Xenopus tropicalis: one gene and its partner. The protein of the gene in region 1 interacts with the protein of each later gene in a biochemical or structural test. Links are inferred from orthologs where the notes say so. Each region holds a gene or a part of one and is shown in the gene's direction. Other genes may lie near its edges. The genes, in order: rrm1 and rrm2.1.

Evidence for each region.
Region 2: the proteins of rrm1 (region 1) and rrm2.1 form a complex in vitro, tested with the Homo sapiens proteins (3 studies listed by BioGRID and IntAct). The link is inferred for Xenopus tropicalis from reciprocal best matches to the Homo sapiens genes RRM1 and RRM2.

Annotation. Positions count from the first base shown.
Region 1 is NC_030678.2:178,096,687-178,106,258, reverse strand, and holds part of rrm1 (ribonucleoside-diphosphate reductase large subunit), read left to right. Parts: coding exon 1-22; intron 23-953; coding exon 954-1,037; intron 1,038-1,173; coding exon 1,174-1,335; intron 1,336-1,590; coding exon 1,591-1,670; intron 1,671-2,032; coding exon 2,033-2,234; intron 2,235-4,021; coding exon 4,022-4,171; intron 4,172-5,136; coding exon 5,137-5,358; intron 5,359-5,476; coding exon 5,477-5,553; intron 5,554-6,828; coding exon 6,829-6,964; intron 6,965-7,392; coding exon 7,393-7,488; intron 7,489-7,864; coding exon 7,865-8,053; intron 8,054-9,572. UniProt on the Homo sapiens protein: Provides the precursors necessary for DNA synthesis. Catalyzes the biosynthesis of deoxyribonucleotides from the corresponding ribonucleotides.
Region 2 is NC_030681.2:138,195,068-138,204,282, forward strand, and holds the end of rrm2.1 (ribonucleotide reductase M2, gene 1), read left to right. Parts: intron 1-979; coding exon 980-1,096; intron 1,097-2,491; coding exon 2,492-2,625; intron 2,626-2,826; coding exon 2,827-2,921; intron 2,922-3,063; coding exon 3,064-3,197; intron 3,198-3,284; coding exon 3,285-3,389; intron 3,390-3,508; coding exon 3,509-3,622; intron 3,623-4,476; coding exon 4,477-4,629; 3' UTR 4,630-4,926; downstream 4,927-9,215. UniProt on the Homo sapiens protein: Provides the precursors necessary for DNA synthesis. Catalyzes the biosynthesis of deoxyribonucleotides from the corresponding ribonucleotides. Inhibits Wnt signaling.

The DNA of each region.
Region 1 (9,572 bases):
CACTGGCAGTTACATTGCTGGGGTAAGTTTCTTCTGTTCTACATATCCGCAATCATAAGGGTCGGTACTTAGAGTATCTTTAAAAATAATTGATATATATATATATATATATTGCAAACTTCATCTGAGCACAGCTTACTATTTTCAGTTTTTAGTGGTTTCTGAGATTTGCAGATTTAGCCTTTTTTTTTACAGTCTTAGTCTTACAGTGGTATAGGCAAGCACTTAAGGATTAAGCATTTAGGTTTCAAAGTTGTCTGTACTACAGAATGTCATGGAAACCAGTGCATATCCTTGGAAGTTCTTTAGGATGAAGACACACAGAGCTACTAGTAGCAGCTACTTGTCACGGCTACAAAAATAGACAATACTTATCATTTAATGGTAATTGTCTGTACGTGTGTTTAGCAGAGCCAGTTCTCAGTATTGTCTATGGCAGGGGATATTCTGGGGTTTAGTAGCCGTGACAAGTAGCTGCTACTAAGTAGCTCTGTGTCTCTTTACCCTTAGGGTGAAGACACATCTAGCTACTAGTAGCAGCTACTTTTTCACAGCTACTGAACCCCAGAAAATCCCCTGCCATAGACAATACTGAGAACTGGCTCTGCTAAACACATGTAGAGACAATTATCAGTAAAAGATCACCATTGTCTATTTTAGTAACCATCACAAGTAGCTGCTACTAGTAGCTCCATGTGTCTTTAACATTAAGCATTCCCTGTTGGTGTATTAAATACAATAAGAGACCAAAAATTACTTCTAAATGAGTAAAAAATGTCTTTACATTTATTTCAATAGATTAAAAACATAAAAAAACCCTTACATGCAATGCCTGCTGGTGTCTTTAAACCTTTTGTATATAGAGGAAAACCCTATCATAGCACCCACTGTGCCTGATTCTGCAAAGATCTGGAAGGGAAGGTTGGTGTAACTGTCCTTCCTATATTCTTTAGACAAATGGCAACTCGAATGGCCTTGTACCGATGCTGAGAGTGTACAACAACACTGCGCGATATGTGGATCAAGGAGGCAACAAGGTTGGTACTGGTGGGTTGGAGGCATTAAAGTTGGTTCTTCTGTGAATGGGATCTCCAGTAAAAAAAAAAAAAAAATAAGGACATTAAATTAGGGCTGATTTCTCACACTCTCACACTGACTCGTGTCTCACCCCAGAGGCCTGGTGCATTTGCCATTTACCTGGAGCCGTGGCACTACGATGTCTTTGAATTCCTGGACCTAAAAAAGAACACTGGAAAGGAGGAGCAGAGAGCCAGGGATCTGTTCTATGCCATGTGGATACCAGATCTCTTTATGAAACGTGTAGAGAATAATCTGGTAAGGGAATACCTTTATATGCATTTAAATTGTGCTTCATATTTGCAGTGACATGGCTTCCCCAGTCAGTGAGCAGTAACGGGGCTGCATAGAATGCACTGAGCATTTAATAACACTGGGCTAAGGATTATACTATCATGGTGCCAGGGTCAGTGACCCCCACAGCCTGATGTTGGAGAGGTTCTGAGCAAACAGCCATCAATAATTATCCTCTTAAGGGCAAGAAATAAAACTGCATACCATTTTGTCTTTCAGGATTGGTCGTTAATGTGTCCTCATGAATGTCCTGGCTTGGAAGAAGTGTGGGGAGACAAGTTTGAAGAGCTCTATGAAAGGTACAATTCTATTCCTCATCTGTGCGCTGATTAGTTTTTGAACCATCGTCCCATAGTTGTTTAGAATGTGTGCCTAAATAGCTCTACATATAGATATGCACACAATAAACAAATATGGGCTCACAGTCTATAAATCAGTTTGTACCGGCAGTTAAAGGGGAGGGGGAGTGTTAGTAATTGTTGTTAGTAAGAAATTACCTTTTTTGCTGAAATGATTGGTGTAGGCAGTGGGATTATTTTTCTTTCTCTGAATCCTTTATGAATTAAGAGGTGTATATTATTTTCTGCCTTAAATGTTAGTGATTGGCTTATTGCAAAATGTAATTGGTGTAAAATCCCTTACGCTGTTTTGGCTTCCACAGATATGAGCAGGAAGGACGAGCCCGTAAGGTGGTGAAGGCCCAGCAGCTGTGGTACGCCATTATAGAGTCGCAGACGGAGACTGGCACTCCCTACATGCTGTACAAGGATGCCTGTAACCGCAAGAGCAATCAGCAGAACCTGGGCACCATTAAGTGCAGTAACCTGTGCACAGAGATCGTGGAGTACACCAGTGACGACGAGGTAATGGCAGCGTATGGCTTTCTGGGCTATCAAACTTTTTCTTCCCATTTACATTCGGTAGAATGGAGAATAAGATGCTCAATAAAGATGCCTTTAAAAGAGAAACTATTGCTGAAAACATGTGATAGTGTTTAGTTTTAATCTGCTAAAGGTTTTGGCATATAAATTGCCAGCCTAGAAACCAAATTCAAATTTAGATACATATTGTATCTTGTGTATTTATATCGCCATGAAAACCAATCGGGAGCATATGTTTTGGTTTTAAAATAGCGTAACAAAATAGCGTGATTTCCTCGGCTTTTCAGTTACTTTTTGGCAATGTACATTGTGTCCCACTCCAGTGCTTCGTGCCTCTTTAGCCACTCCTTTGTGTCTCCTAAAGCACTTAGAATTTGCCCCTTCTGACTACCCATATCTACACAAGCATGAAAGTTCCTAGGTGGTGGCCAGTAAGGGCTATGATTGGCTATTGAGTAGCCCCTATGTGGACAGGCAAACAGAAGGTTCTGTTTGGCAGTACATCTGGTTTTCATGCAACCAAAACTTGTCTCCAAGACTTGAATTCAAAAATAAGCCCCTGCTTTGAGGCCACTGGGAGCAACATCCTGGGGGTTGGGGAGCAACATGTTGCCACTGGTTGGGGATCACTGGGTTAAACCTGTTGTCAGCCTGTGTTTCTCACCCCAAAGGAAAGCCACTCTGCCATTAAGCTGAGTAGGTGGGTTTAGTGTTGGAGTATTAAAGACAAACAGTTCTCACATTTTTCTTTTGTAGCTGCAGACATTTGACCAGCTTATCAGGTTGGGTATATACTGTATGTTCACAAGAGGCTAAACATTAGATTAACAATTACTTTTTTTTAGTCTCCCTGTTTTTTTTTTATCTTGGTATTTTGTGGTAACACATCTAAACATTATAATCATTGAAGCACTATTTGCTTACCAGAGAGACAGCTAGAATAATAACAATAATTATCTTAGCCTTTAGATTTAGTTAAAGGAGAAAGAAAGGCAGTCACTTGGGGTTGCCAAAATGTTAGGCACCCCCAAGTGACTTGAATCGCATACCTTTTACCCCGGCTGGTGTCCCTGTATGGAGAGACCAGCACCAGCCCGGGGTAGCTGCAGCGCTTCCTCCTTCCTGTAGCGCTGCGCGCGCATGCACAGTAGAGTGAATAGTGGAACTTTAACAGAAGTCTGCTTTTCACTCTACTGCGCATGCACCTGCGTGTAAGTCTTAGCGAAACGCAGGCGGAAGAAGGAAGCCCATCGCTCCAGGTACCCCGGGCTGGTGCTGTTTTCTCCTAACAGGGGCACCAGCCCGGGGTACGAGGTAAGCGATTAGTCACTTGGGGGTGCCTAACATTTTAGCACCCCCAAGTGACTTAGCCTTTCCTTGGAGCGGTTCAGTGGCCCACAATAGATCTCTATCGCGGGTGGCAAACCACTCCGAAATGGCTCTCCGCCGGCATTAATTGAAGTTGCCAGTGGAAAACCCTTTGCATCGCTTTGTCTTCAGAAGTTGCCTACAGGAGGAAACTTGGGGATTACCAAAGCGATCTGAAGGGTTTCCACCAGCGACTTCAATTGTTGCCGGTGGAAATCAAAGTCACTCATAATAGAGATCTATTGTGGCCACTGAACCGCTCTGTGGGTTCATACCCTGAAGTCTTCCTTTTGTCATGCTGAATCTGTAACAGTGTATCTGTCTTCTACACAACATTTCTCCTTTACCTTCCTTGTCTCATTTTCCCTCTCATTATTATCATTCCTCTGCCCCTCCCGTAGGTTGCGGTCTGTAACTTGGCCTCTTTAGCCTTGAACATGTACGTGACTCCAGAGCGCAGCTTTGACTTCAAGAAGTTGGCCGATGTTACCAAAGTCATTGTCCGAAATTTGAACAAAATTATCGAAATAAACTTTTATCCTGTGCCCGAGGTGAGTCTCTTTGTTCCATAAATAAAAAGAAAAGCGAAATTGTGAGCTGTTACAAATAGGGGTGCACCGAGCCCAGTTTTTTGGTTCGGCCAAATCCATATTAAGGGAACGGAATGCAAATCCTAATTAAGATTTGGAAATGTCGGCATGTGCAGTGAAAAATTCTACACTTCCGGGTATATATATTCTGTACAACTTGGCACCTTTCCTTCTCCTTTATATACAGAGAGGTACAGGGAGTCATTTCATATACAAAACTGACCAACCCAGGATCTGAGTTACCGTTTTATATGTAGTAAATGGCAGGATCTGTCTATATATTAGATATGTGCCTCAGAGCACACAATATAGTACAGGTATCCGATCCCTTATCCGGAAACACATCCAGAAAGTGCCAAATTACGGAAAGGCCGTCTCCCATAGACTCCATTTTAATCAATTTTTAATAATAAAACAGTACCTGTACTTGATCCCAACTAAGATATAATTACCCCTTATTGGGGCAGAACAGCCCTATTGGGTTTAATGTTTTATTAATTTTTTAGTAGACTTAAGGTATGGAGATCCAAATTACGTAAAGACCCCTTATCCGGAATACCCTTGTTCCCGAGCATTCTGGATAACGGGTGCTATACCTGTACAACCATTATTTGCACGCACACAAAATAGAAGATATTGCCAGCGCTCGGCTTTAAACTGGGTAAATCCCTTCACATTCTTGTTAATGTACTGTAAAATGTATTTAACCTACATCTGCTTTGATTGATGCGTTTGATTATTTACAATGTATGGAACATTAGTTTAGTGCCATTTGTCCAATTGCCATTTAATTCATATCTGTACGTCGGCTTCCTGCTGCGGCCTGTACTGCTGTGGCATAACTAAGCTGCCCTGTTTAATGTTTCCTTCATTGTTTTGCACCATTTTTATGATTTTTTTATTTTGTGATCAAATCTTTCCTACAGGCCGAATATTCCAACAAGAGGCATCGGCCAATCGGGATTGGAGTGCAGGGCTTGGCAGACGCCTTCATCCTCATGAGATACCCGTTTGAGAGTGAGGAGGCTCAGCTGTTAAACAAGCAAATATTTGAGACCATTTATTACGCTGCGCTGGAATCCAGCTGTGAGCTGGCCAAGGAGCTGGGTCCGTATGATACGTATGAAGGGAGCCCCGTCAGTAAAGGGGTAAGAATGGGGTAAAACTGGAATACAGACCCCACTGCCTGTAACTTGCAGATGTGTATTATGGTTCTGGTTATAGAATTACAGCTGGGTTTGTGTGTATCCATCTTGTCTCTCGCAGATCCTACAGTACGACATGTGGAATGTAACTCCCACAGGTCTCTGGGACTGGGCTGCCTTGAAGGAGAAGATTGCAAAGTGAGTAGTGTCTGTCTGGCTTATAATGCCTTGGTAAAGTGCTTACAGTTAACTTTTAGTATAGAATGGCCACTTCTAAGCAACTTTTCAGTTGGTCTTTATAGTTTTTTTAATTATTTGCCGCCTTCTAACTTTTTGCAGTCACTGACCCCCGCAGCCAAAAAACTGTTAAAATGTTATTGCTACTTTTTTAGTTTTTCTATTCAGCCCCTCCCCTATTCAGCTATCAGTCTTTCATTTAAACCACACCCTGGATGCTAAGGTAACTTGGACCCTAGCAACCAGATACCTGCTGAAACTCCAAACAGGAGAGCTGCTGAACAAAAACTGAAATAAAAAAAAATACAAATAAAAAATGAAGACCAATTGCAAATTCTCGATGTTACTCTTCTACATTATACTAAAAGTTAACTCCAAGGTGAACATCCCCTTTAATGATGACTTCCCCGTCACCATCCTATATAGTATGGGTTTATATATGACATACTCAACAGCCCCTGGATGTTAGTTCAGCAACTAAATGTGTTTCTCTTGACCCATTTCATATGTTTCAGTTAAGCCTGTATGTGTAAGGTACCAACAGAGCCCATAGTTTAGGGCGGGGACCCTCCACTACGACCCGCTGGCTGGATATACCCGCCCCCCCCCCCACTGAATTCTCACCTACCTTCCTCAGTGTGGCTTTTTGCCCCATTGCTTCACAACACCATGTCCCACTGGGTGACACTACTGATGTGTAACGCTGTGCTGTTGTGCGCTGCCCCCCCAGCTGGTGAGGGCGCTGGGGGGGGCTAATAACTGTAGTCCAGCCTCCAACAGTCTGAGGGGTCTGAGTTTGACCCCTGATTTACTGTATAGGGTACCTGCCAGTATATGTGTTATATATCTATCTTCTATTTATCTTCCTGCTCTTCCTGTTGCCTGTTTATCCAATACGTTTTCTCTTTGTTTTGGAATTCACTGTGTAAATTACATTGATTATCTTTGTGTTTACAGTCTGCGAGGTATTCATAGGGCTTAATTGCACCTAAAAGCCCATTATATAATGGATAATTGCCAGTTAGTCTTAAACAAGGTGTTATGGCTTTCTAAGCGTACTCCTCTGGGATTGGTGTGTGTATAACTAGTGTTCCCATGTTAATACTGAAACTCTCCCACCTCCCCAGTGAGTCAGTGTGCTTACTGTCACATTGAAACCCAGCTGCCAGCACTGTTTTACCATGTTAGGCTTTCAAACCTTAAGCCTTGTTAATTCTTTGGTTTTTTTTCCCCTAGATACGGCGTCCGGAACAGTTTGCTTCTGGCTCCAATGCCCACGGCTTCCACTGCACAAATCCTGGGCAATAATGAGTCCATTGAGCCATATACCAGCAATATATACACACGCAGAGTCCTGTCTGGCGAGTTCCAGGTAGGTCTCGGCCTACATACGTCTAATGTTGTTGCATGTAGAGTTGCAACTTTCTATTTTGTATGAAATAGTAAAGTGTGCCTGAGTCTGAGCTTTCAGCCAGCGCTACACATGAACTGCTTTCAGCTAACCTATTGTTTCTCCTACTCCCATGTAACTGGAGGAGTCCCAAGCCGGACTTGGATTTCTTACTATTGAGTGCTATTCTGATACCTACTGGGAGCTGCTATCTTGCTCCCTTCCCATTGTTCTGCTGATCGGCTGCTGAGGGGGGAGGATATCACTCCAACTTGCAGCGCAGCAGTAAAGTGTGACTGAAGTTTATCAGAGCACAGGTCACATGGCTGTGGCACCCTGGGAAATGACCTGGCTTCTGTGAGTAACAGACACTTTATGTACCCTAAAGGCTTGTAACTTTTCTCTTACAGATTGTGAACCCACATTTAATGAAAGACCTGACAGAGCGAGGGCTGTGGAACGAAGAAATGAAAAATCAGATTATTGCCAACAATGGCTCCATACAGGTATGGGTCTGGGCCGCTGCTGGCTGTGGGGCTCATCCCAGTGGAATTGTTTATAGACATTGTAGAGGGGCTATTCTGTATATTCCATTTATTCCTGGCTTGGAACATTCTTGGTCTATGATCCATCTATTATAAGATTGTATGGATAATGTTGAAAAGAATTAAGAATTGGTGATTGTAGGTATCCAGTTGATTCTGGTCCAGCCTACATTTAGGCCAATATAATTGGGCTGAAGTTTTATTTGAAATACTTTAATGCTGTAGAAGCTGCTGAGGCTTTAACTCTTCATGGGACAGAGTCCAGAGTCTGCCCCATTAGTGTCACTGGGATGTGCTTTGTGTCTGTCTCTAACGTTCTATTGTCCCGTCTCCCTAGAATGTCCCAGACATCCCTGCTGATCTGAAAGAGCTGTACAAGACGGTGTGGGAAATATCTCAGAAGACGGTGATTACAATGGCGGCAGACAGAGGAGCGTTCATCGACCAGAGCCAGTCACTGAACATCCATGTCGCAGAGCCAAACTACGGCAAACTCACCAGCATGCACTTCTTTGGCTGGAAGCAGGTAACGAACTTATTCTCCTGTTCAAACCCAACTTACACTCCGTTAGTAGCGACCATATTATGTGGAAATTGATATTGGGTTATTTTACAATAAGTTTTTTTTTTTTAACAAGACTAAAAACCTTCACATCCCCAGGCAACATGTAGCAAGAGAAGCTCATCCCACTAGGTACAAAAGAGCTCTGCTACAGGATAGAACAGAACCTCCCTGTCTTGTATTATGACCCACTAAGTCACCATTTTCAGCAAGTGAGGAAATACAGGGGTAGGGGGGATAACTCTCAGTACAAGTGAGGGAATACAGGGGTATGGGGGATAGCTCTCAGTACAAGTGAGGGAATACAGGGTTATGGGAGATAGCTCTCAGTACAAGTGAGGGAATACAGGGGTAGGGGAGATAGCTCTCAGTACAAGTGAGGGAATACAGGGGTAGGGGGGATAGCTCTCAGTACAAGTGAGGGAATACAGGGGTAGGGGGATAGCTCTCAGTACAAGTGAGGGAATACAGGGGTAGGGGGGATAGCTCTCAGTACAAGTGAGGGAATACAGGGGTAGGGGGGATAGCTCTCAGTACAAGTGAGGGAATACAGGGGTAGGGGAGATAGCTCTCAGTACAAGTGAGGGAATACAGGGGTAGGGGGGATAGCTCTCAGTACAAGTGAGGGAATACAGGGGTAGGGGGGATAGCTCTCAGTACAAGTGAGGGAATACAGGGGTAGGGGGGATAGCTCTCAGTACAAGTGAGGGAATACAGGGTTAGGGGGGATAGCTCTCAGTACAAGTGAGGGAATACAGGGGTAGGGGAGATAGCTCTCAGTACAAGTGAGGGAATACAGGGGTAGGGGAGAGAGCTCTCAGTACAAGTTGCCCCAGGGACTGGTCCGATTGCCATCTTGGAGTCAGGAAGGAATTTTTTCCCCTCTGCAGCAAATTAGAGAGGCTTCAGATGGGGTTTTTTGCCTTCCTCTGGATCAACTAGTAATTAGGCAGGTTATATATTGTCATTATGGTTGAACGTGATGGACGTGTGTCCACCCAACTTACTATGTTACCAGGGCTCAGGCCATAGGACTAAGGTCGATTTTTAGGATTTTAGCCGCCTCCCTAATGTTCCCGTCTCTCATGTACATTGTGGTAGCCACAGGCAGCGCAGTATTTCTCTCCCTATGTATCGGGGATTAACTCTGCAGGGTGACTTTGTGCAATGAGAGAGGCCAGGGTCAGACTGGGCCAATGGTGCACTGGGAAAAAAACCTGGCGGCCCAGCTGTCCTAGACCCAAACCTTGTGTCGCTCCTAAGGTAAGACTAAAGCAGGTGTGCTCAGGGGAGGGGTTTGTGGGGCCCCAATGGGCCCTGTACCCCCCAGTCTGACCCTGGGAGTGGCAGGGGGTTGTGCTGGGTTGAACCTTGGGTGGTGGTTTTGCTGCCTACAGGCTGGAGCATCTCAAGTGCTGCCTTTGGGGCTGAGGGAGAGAAATAGAAATTTAAGTAGAAATATGTCCTTTCATGTCAAGGCAGT
Region 2 (9,215 bases), on another chromosome or scaffold:
TGGTGGGTTCTTTGAGTGCATGAGGTAAAATATTGGTCAAGGCTATAGAAAGCATGGGCAACGGTAGGGTGTTATCTATGCCAGTTGAAATGGGATGTCGCTGAATTAAAAAAAACAAAAAAAAAACAGCAGAATTCTTAAATAACCAGGCTGCCTCAACTGAAATACCCAGCCCAGGTACAATTCTAATGAATGCTGAATGGGACCTCCTTTCTACTGTCTCATACCACATGGCACTTATAATATATAGTCTTGTAAAGAATCTGCACTCGCCAGTATCGGGCACAGGCTGGGTGCTGACAAAAATAATGCATCAAACTCAACAGTAGAAAGCACTCACAGCTACAGCATCAATCAGGTCAGTGATTTCAGCATACCATCTACGCGTTTCGATCACCACAGGATCGTCATCAGGATATATATATATATATATATATATATATATATATATATATATTGTATTTATTCATTATATCACTTGTCCTCCCTGTGTGTAATTTTGTATTCTGTAAGACTGTACAGTGCTGCGTACCCTTGTGGCGCTTTATAAATTAAGTTATACATACATACTGCCAAGCTGTTACCCTGGGCTCTGTGAATGCACAGTGCAGCAAATGTTAGACTGAGTTCAGGCCAGCTTCTAGAGATCACTGTGGGGACAGAATAGCTGCATTAATCCAAATTGGTGCCAAAACAACTGTTGGGTTTATTTAAATGATTTTTAGTAGACTGAATTTCCCAATTATATAAAGGTCCCTTAATCAGAACCCCAGATCCCAAGCATTCTGGATAACAGATCCCATACTATTATGTGAAGAAAAATAATGCATGTGTAATTGTCCAGCACATACTGAATTTCAATTTACTTTTCTGTCCCTGTATGTACTCCGCAATGGAAACTATACTTAGACAATGTGCTCCTTGCTATAATTCTCTTTTCTGTCTCTCTGTTCAGTGGTTGCTTTTGTCTGTCATGTAGGTGGATCTTTCTAAAGATCTTCCGCACTGGGAAGCTCTAAAGCCTGAGGAAAGATACTTCATTTCTTATGTGTTGGCCTTTTTTGCAGCAAGTGATGGCATTGTGAATGAGAATCTGGTAAGTGCAGCCACGTTTATACATTTCTCTGCGTTGTTATATCAGGATGTGCCCAAATTATGGATTAATAAAATAGACATTGCATTGGCCTAGGTGCAGACACACTAAGCGGAATTTGGTGCCAAACTACATACATGATACAGTGGCTCCAGGTGCAGGCACAAAGATTTTTGAAGTGTAGGGGCAGATTCTTGGTCTGAATTTATCTGCAGGCTGAGAATCCTTGTGTGGCTTCAGCCTAAAGTATTGCATACCTTTTGTATTCCCACCCTTTTGTGAAGAGACCTTACTGAAGGAACTGACTCATCTGGACAGCAGCATCTTTTTCCTCAAAAGATGCAAAAAGGAAAAACCCAAAGGCCTTGCACTAAAGAACCCAGTATGGTGCACCCCACTTTGCTAAACAACTGCACCAGAATGACTGAAGAACCACACCTAATCAAGGTGTTATACATAAAAAAAAAAAAAGTAACACTGCAACCATTCTCAAGGTCAAATTACTGGAATGGAGACTGAGGATGTAAAGTTTGGATTTGCATTGTACTGAAAAAACTACAAGGGCTACGTCTCCACAACGCAGTATAAATTCTGTACAGGCACAAAAAAACATTTGTGGTAAACACATAGATTATACTCCAGCAAGAGAGGCGCTAACATTATTCACAAAAGGCCCCACAGAAAAGCAATTGGCAAAACTGAATTCTGCAATGACATAGAAGAATTCCTTGAGGCATAATTTCCTAAAAAAAAAGTGTCCAACAGGAGGTATTTACATTGAAGTAACAGGACAAAGCCGCAGAAAAAGGACCACTAGTCACTGGTTTACCATAAACAATAAAAAGGCCACACCAGGAAGAAAAGAGTGCCAAAGTCTCTCCAAATACTGCTCACAAGGTGGAACAGAGTGGAAAGGCCAGGGTGTGCTGGTGAGTGTGGATTGGCACACCAGGAAGAAAACATTGTAATAGCCCCAGCCGCAACCTGGACGACTCCAAAATCTCTTATCAAAGGCAATTTAAAACCTCCCCATTTGTGTGTCTCTACTTGCAATCCAAATATAAAATACATAAATATATTAGAGCCTACATAGCTTCTTTGTAATCCGCTTTAAAAAAGGAACTGAAATGTTCCTTACTATGATTTATCTTTGTTGGCCAAGAAAGGGATCTCCTTTTTACACAACTTAAATTATGCTTTGTATCAAAGTTTTTACCCTAATAAGCACAAACTGTACTTTGAATCTCAGGGTTTGTCTCAAGCCCATTCTCGTGAGCATCTAATGGTGCATTTTTGCTGTGCACTACATTACATAATCCCATGTGCTTGTTGCACGCAACATACACCAAACTTACTAATACCAGCACCTTGATTCATTGCTGTCTCCCAATGCTTTAGGTGGAGCGCTTCAGCCAGGAAGTGCAAGTAACCGAGGCTCGCTGCTTTTATGGCTTCCAAATTGCAATGGAGAATATTCATTCTGAGATGTACAGCCTTCTTATCGACACCTACATTAAAGATCCCAAGGAAAGGTAAGCCTGTTTTTATGTTGCACCCAATCCCTATTTATAGCAGTAGATAAATTCAGACAACATGTGGCAGAATGGGTGACGGCGAAAGTGAGGACTCTGGACTGCAGAAACTCAAACCCTTGTTCTATAGAATAGAGTACTGTACTTGTTTTAAACTTAATGCGCCTTATACCTGAAACTAATGGAGTGCAAACTTTACAGGGAGTTCCTCTTCAATGCAATAGAAACCTTACCCTGTGTGAAAAAGAAGGCAGAATGGGCCCTGCGTTGGATAAGCGACAGAGAAGCACCTTTTTGTAAGACAAATCGGAGTACCAAGCTGAATTATTCCGCCTCCATCCCCTGTTTATCCTTGGTGACTGGAACACATGAGAGGTGATCGTGTCTGTGTTTACTGCTATATATTGGATTCAAATGTTTTGTTTTTCTTCCTCCTAGGCGAGCGCATTGTGGCCTTTGCTGCTGTTGAAGGGATCTTTTTCTCCGGTTCATTTGCTTCCATATTCTGGCTGAAGAAACGGGGGCTGATGCCTGGACTCACTTTCTCTAATGAACTTATCAGCAGAGATGAAGTAATTGCTTTATTTCTTTTTTTATTCTTACTCCGCTCCCTTGTGAATTCTTTATTTCTGATGGTTGACATTTTGTTTTTTTTATAGGGTTTACACACTGACTTTGCTTGCCTTCTGTTTAAACATGTCGTACACAAACCCTCTGAGCAGCGTGTCAGGGAAATTATCATTGATGCTGTCAAGATTGAGCAGGTATGTCTTAACTTAGTACGGTAACCCCTTTTTCTGTTCTGCATTATATTAATGTTCGGCTACTATAAAATCTCAAAGTAATTTGGAGGTAACTATATTTTTCTGCTCCATTCTTCTAGGAGTTCTTGACTGAAGCTTTGCCTGTGGAGCTAATTGGTATGAACTGCAAACTGATGAAGCAGTATATTGAATTTGTGGCAGATCGTCTTCTGCTGGAGCTAGGTTTTAAAAAGGTAACTTTTACATTGTGGTCTGCCAGTGCTCTGAAATCTTTGCTGTTTAAGGGGAAAGCATTTCTTATTCTGCACTTAAGCAGGGTTGGACTGATACCAGAGAATCCTGCTGGTGGGTGCTGGTTTCGCTTTGGTCTAAAAATTAACACTATCTGTAAAAATGGCCTCTTTATTGGAGCTCCCTATAGATCCTCTTGTCCCTATCCATGATTCAGATGAGGGGTGGGCATGTCCTAACTGTCCCTGCAGTCACACAAGCAAAGACTTCAGTTCCCTATCAGGTCAGCCTAGCTGTTGGTTGGTATCCTACAGTGCAGTGCACAGGCCCCCCGGAACACCCTGGGAAAGGAGGCAGCAGGAAGTGTAACAGATGAGCGAGACTAGTCTGGGTTTTTTGAGAAATTTTAAAGCACATTCCTTCTATATTTAGATAAGTAAATTTTTTACACTATGTCCCTTTTAAACCTACATAGTCTTACCATTTGGCACTGCCTCCATCGAATTTATACAAGAGTGCTCCTTGGATATCTGGTTTTATTTTGGGCCCTATGAGACCTTGACCAATTTTGGGTGTAAAGGAATGTGTTAGATTGACTTTCTTTCTCATAAAGCTTTAAACCATGGCTGTAGTACAATACTGGGCAGCTAATTTATGAATAATAATGAAATAAATGACCCGTGTAACACCCTTGGGCAGGCTAACCAGAAATAACCTTTGCTCCCATGTTTCCTTGTAGTTTCAGATTCCTTCTAGTGTGTGCAGTCTATAAAGGGCTTCAAAGTTGTGGTCTATACTACTTTTGCCTCTGGTTTTGTGGGAAGGCAAATACAGAATTTTTTTTTTTTTTTTTCAGATTTTTAAGAGTGAGAATCCATTTGATTTTATGGAGAACATATCCTTGGAAGGAAAGACTAATTTCTTTGAGAAGAAAGTTGCCGAATACCAGAAGATGGGTGTCATGTCCAAGGCAACAGACAAGCAATTCACTTTAAATGCCGAATTTTAAATGTTTCTTATATTTGTGTTTAAACGTGCATGGCATTTATAAATGCTGCCGGTTTTTTACTCTGTTCTAGTCTGCATGCTATAGTAAAGTATGTGTGCCTTCACTTTGAAAACAAATGTTGCTTGTTCTTGGCCCTGCTTATAAAGAGAGCAGGTAAGTCAGTGTCAGAAAATCTACCTTGCTCTGTGGTGCCTCCACAGAATACTCTATAGCTTGGTATGAGCAGGAACACCTTTTGTAGTTTTGATAGATCTTTGATTATAAAATGTTGTAATAAAAATGTAATATATAATTGAATTTGGGTATGCTGATTTGTTTGGGCAGAGGGGGGTGCCAGATTCACTGAAAGGGTAAGGCCGAGTGCAGGTGCTTTGCTTATTAGAGCAGCAGTTGCCATGCTTGAAGACCTGTCTGAACCTATATGTGACCATAATCTCCCTGCTGTTTGCCATTGTCCTTCTATAGGGTATAGGTAAAAATATTGCACCACAAGATAGAAATATTGTGGGTGCCACATTGCTATTTCCAATTATCAGTAATTACAGCTGCCTGCCCTTTTTCTTACTAAAGAGTGTCTGACCATATTGCTCAAGGATAACTTCCATGGTGGTAATGATTGGCCGGGTGCCTTGGGTTACCAGCTTGGGATGGTGCTGGGAGTAGGCAGTGCGGTGCTAGTCATTGTTATCATTCACTGGTAATGTTTGGCCAGTCCTGGAACCTGGTATTGTACTTCAAGGAAGAAAAATGTGGTCACAGATGGCCACTAGAGGGCAATATTTTCACAGTAATGTGAATAGAGAGAAACCACTACCTAATTTTCAAAAGAAACCGTCCAAAAGTAAAATTTTTATGGCTTTACATGCATTTAGCAAACATAGCAGTAGATTTTAATGGCAAGGGTCGTGAGCATCATTCAGTATTGGAGTATACAGTATATTTGTTACCTGCCCGTGCCAATTTTTGTTACCGCTGCACCTTGTGAAATTACAGTGCTAGAAGGATGGACCGTGCTTCACAATTAAAATGATCATGCAATTATTTTAAGTTCTAGTTCTAAGTGGTGCATTGTGGCCTTTACTACACCTTAAAACCCTCTTGTCCACCTTCGTGTTGATTGCTACTTATGATGCCATTCTTAGTCATATTCCTGAATACAATCCCTTAAGAACAAAGAATCCAAATTACTTCCCTGCTGCGGGCACTGTACTTGCAAGTCAGCAGCTTGAGACTATATCCCTTTTTTTAAATACAATAACCGTAATTGTGATTGGTGGGTGGCTAAAAAGTCATCCTACCCTTTCTTGAAACTAGCTAATATATATGTCTGTTGTGCTCGGGATCTCCATAACTTAAAGGAGAGCTAAACCCTAAAAATAATATATATAGAAATGCTTAGGGGTTGTTGCAAGTTATCAAGCAGAAAATGAGGGTTGTCTGTCATATAAGATGCTACTAGTAACAGGAAATTCTAATGCAAATGCCCTGGATTTAGATCTGTCATGTAATGTGAATCTGAGTGAATTACTAATCCGCTTTTATACTCTATTTATGCAGTATATTTTGAGTCGGTCCCTAAGCTCAGTAACTGACAGCAGCACAGAGCATGTGGAGGGAAGCAGCAGAAAAGAAGTTGGGGGGGCTACTGGGGCATCTTTGGAGGCACAGATCTCTACTGCTAAAGGGTTGTAGTCACCTTGGGCTGGTACAGAAACCTAAAACATAATCTACAACATTTCTGCCCTACTTCTTTAGCTAAGCTTTAGCTCTTCTTTAAGTCTGTTAAAAATCATTTAAGAATTGAATAAACCCAATAGGATTGTTTTTCACCCAATAAGGATTAATTATAAGTTAGTTGGGATCAAGTACAGGTACTGTTTTATTACAGAGAAAAGGGAATCATTTAACCATTAAATAAGCCCAATAGGGCTGTTCTGCCCCCAATAAGGGGTAATTATATCTTAGTTGGGATCAAGTACAGGTACTGTTTTATTATTACAGAGAAAAGGGAACCATTTAACCATGAAATAAACCCAATAGGGCTGTTCTGCCCCCAATAAGGGGTAATTATATCTTAGTTGGGATCAAGTACAGGTACTGTTTTATTACAGAGAAAAGGGAATCATTTAACCATTAAATAAGCCCAATAGGGCTGTTCTGCCCCCAATAAGGGGTAATTATATCTTAGTTGGGATCAAGTACAGGTACTGTTTTATTACAGAGAAAAGGGAATCATTTAACCATTAAATAAACCCAATAGGGCTGTTCTGCCCCCAATAAGGGGTAATTATATCTTAGTTGGGATCAAGTACAGGTACTGTTTTATTATTACAGAGAAAAGGGAATCATTTAACCATGAAATAAACCCAATAGGGCTGTTCTGTCCCCAATAAGGGGTAATTATATCTTAGTTGGGATCAAGTACAGGTACTGTTTTATTACAGAGAAAAGGGAATCATTTAACCATTAAATAAACCCAATAGGGCTGTTCTCCCCCAATAAGGGGTAATTATATCTTAGTTGGGATCAAGTACAGGTACTGTTTTATTATTACAGAGAAAAGGGAATCATTTAACCATTAAATAAACCCAATAGGGCTGTTCTGCCACCAATAAGGGGTAATTATATCTTAGTTGGGATCAAGTACAGGTACTGTTTTATTATTACAGAGAAAAGGGAATCCTTTAACCATGAAATAAACCCAATAGGGCTGTTCTGTCCCAATAAGGGGTAATTATATCTTAGTTGGGATCAAGTACAGGTACTGTTTTATTATTACAGAGAAAAGGGAATCATTTAACCATGAAATAAACCCAATAGGGCTGTTCTGTCCCCAATAAGGGGTAATTATATATTAGTTGGGATCAAGTACAGGTACTGTTTTATTATTACAGAGAAAAGGGAATCATTTAACCATTAAATAAACCCATACCTGTACCATAACAATATAACGGCACAAGGAACTTCAAAGTGACTTTAATATCTATATTTTAACAGAGTACATAATGTAAGTAATGTGGCACAAATGCCATTGCTAAGGACAGATTATAAGGATTATCCTTAATTGTTATTTATGGCTTGTGTGTATTATAAGGATATAACTGATCACAGATCAGGTCATAGAAATCTGAAGTCACATTTATGAAGTTATAATTCTGAAGGTTATCTGAGGCTTCTGTGTGTGTATAGACACACACACACACACATTGTGAACCACTATGGTTCCACAAATATAAATGTAAAGCTTCTCCTTTGCTATTATGTTACCATGACACCCGGATGTATTTCATTCTTTAATTATACTATGGCCTAATTAGATCTACAGTACATTGCAGAAGTTACATTAATCAGATGTTTCCATAATTAGAGAACTGCAAGATTTTTACAGCTTTTTTCCCTCCCCAAGTTCAGCAAATATGTGTTACCTTTGATCAAACTAGAATTTTAATGAGTGTCTTAGTTCATATTTGTACTGTGTGCGAAGGCTGGAGTTTAGCTTGTTACCTAACGGCTTGGTCCTTTCAAGCTGAAATTCAATTTACATTTTTTTTTCCTATTTATGTTGTGGTAGAAATAAGAGATTGGATCTTATAAATCTTTTTTTTCTACTATGATCTAAATACAATCTAATGTTCTATATCAAATCCTTTATATCCGTAACTGCTCAATCATATTTACAAGTGATCAATTAACGCTTTATGGCAAAAGGTATTTGTACATCTGTCTGTCCAACGTTTCTTTTCTGAACCAAGAAATCAATAAGAAGTTGGTCCCTCCCGTTGCTGCTATAACAGCCTCTACTATTGGAACGTTGTTGCTGGGATTCGCTTCCATTCACACATAAGAGCATTTGTGAGTCTGGACAGTGATGTTGGAGGGATTATCCCACAAGTGTTCAGCTGAGGTCAGGGCTCTGTGCATTCCAACGCTTGCCAAATCTTATTGTATTCACCTGCGCAACATTCCCTAAATACACCATTAGGGCTCTGGCACACGGGGAGATTAGTCGCCCGCGACAAATCTCCCTGTTCGCAGGCGACTAATCTCCCCGAAATGCCATCCCACCGGCGAAAATGTAAATCGCCGGTGGGATGGCATACACAGCGGCGCGATTTCAGTGAAATTGCTGAAGTTGCCCTGAGAGTAAACTTCCATGATTTCAGGGAAATTGTGCTGCTGCGTATGGCATTTCGGGGAGAATAGTCGCCCTCGAACAGGGAGGTTTGTCGCGCGCATGCGCGCACGCGATAAAGGAAGCACTGCAGCTACCCCGGGCTGGTGCTGTTCTCTCCCAACAGGGGCACCAGCCCGGGGTAAAAGGTATGCGATTCAAGTCACTTGGGGGTGCCTAACATTTTTGCCTTTCCTTCTCCTTTAAGTCTACTAAAAAATCAATAAAACATTAATTAAACCCAATAGGGCTGTTCTGCCCCCAATAAGGGGTAATTATATCTTAGTTGGGATCAAGTACAGGTACTGTTTTATTATTACAGAGAAAAGGGAATCATTTAACCATTAAATAAACCCAATAGGGCTGTTCTGCCCCCAATAAGGGGTAATTATATCTTAGTTGGGATCAAGTACAG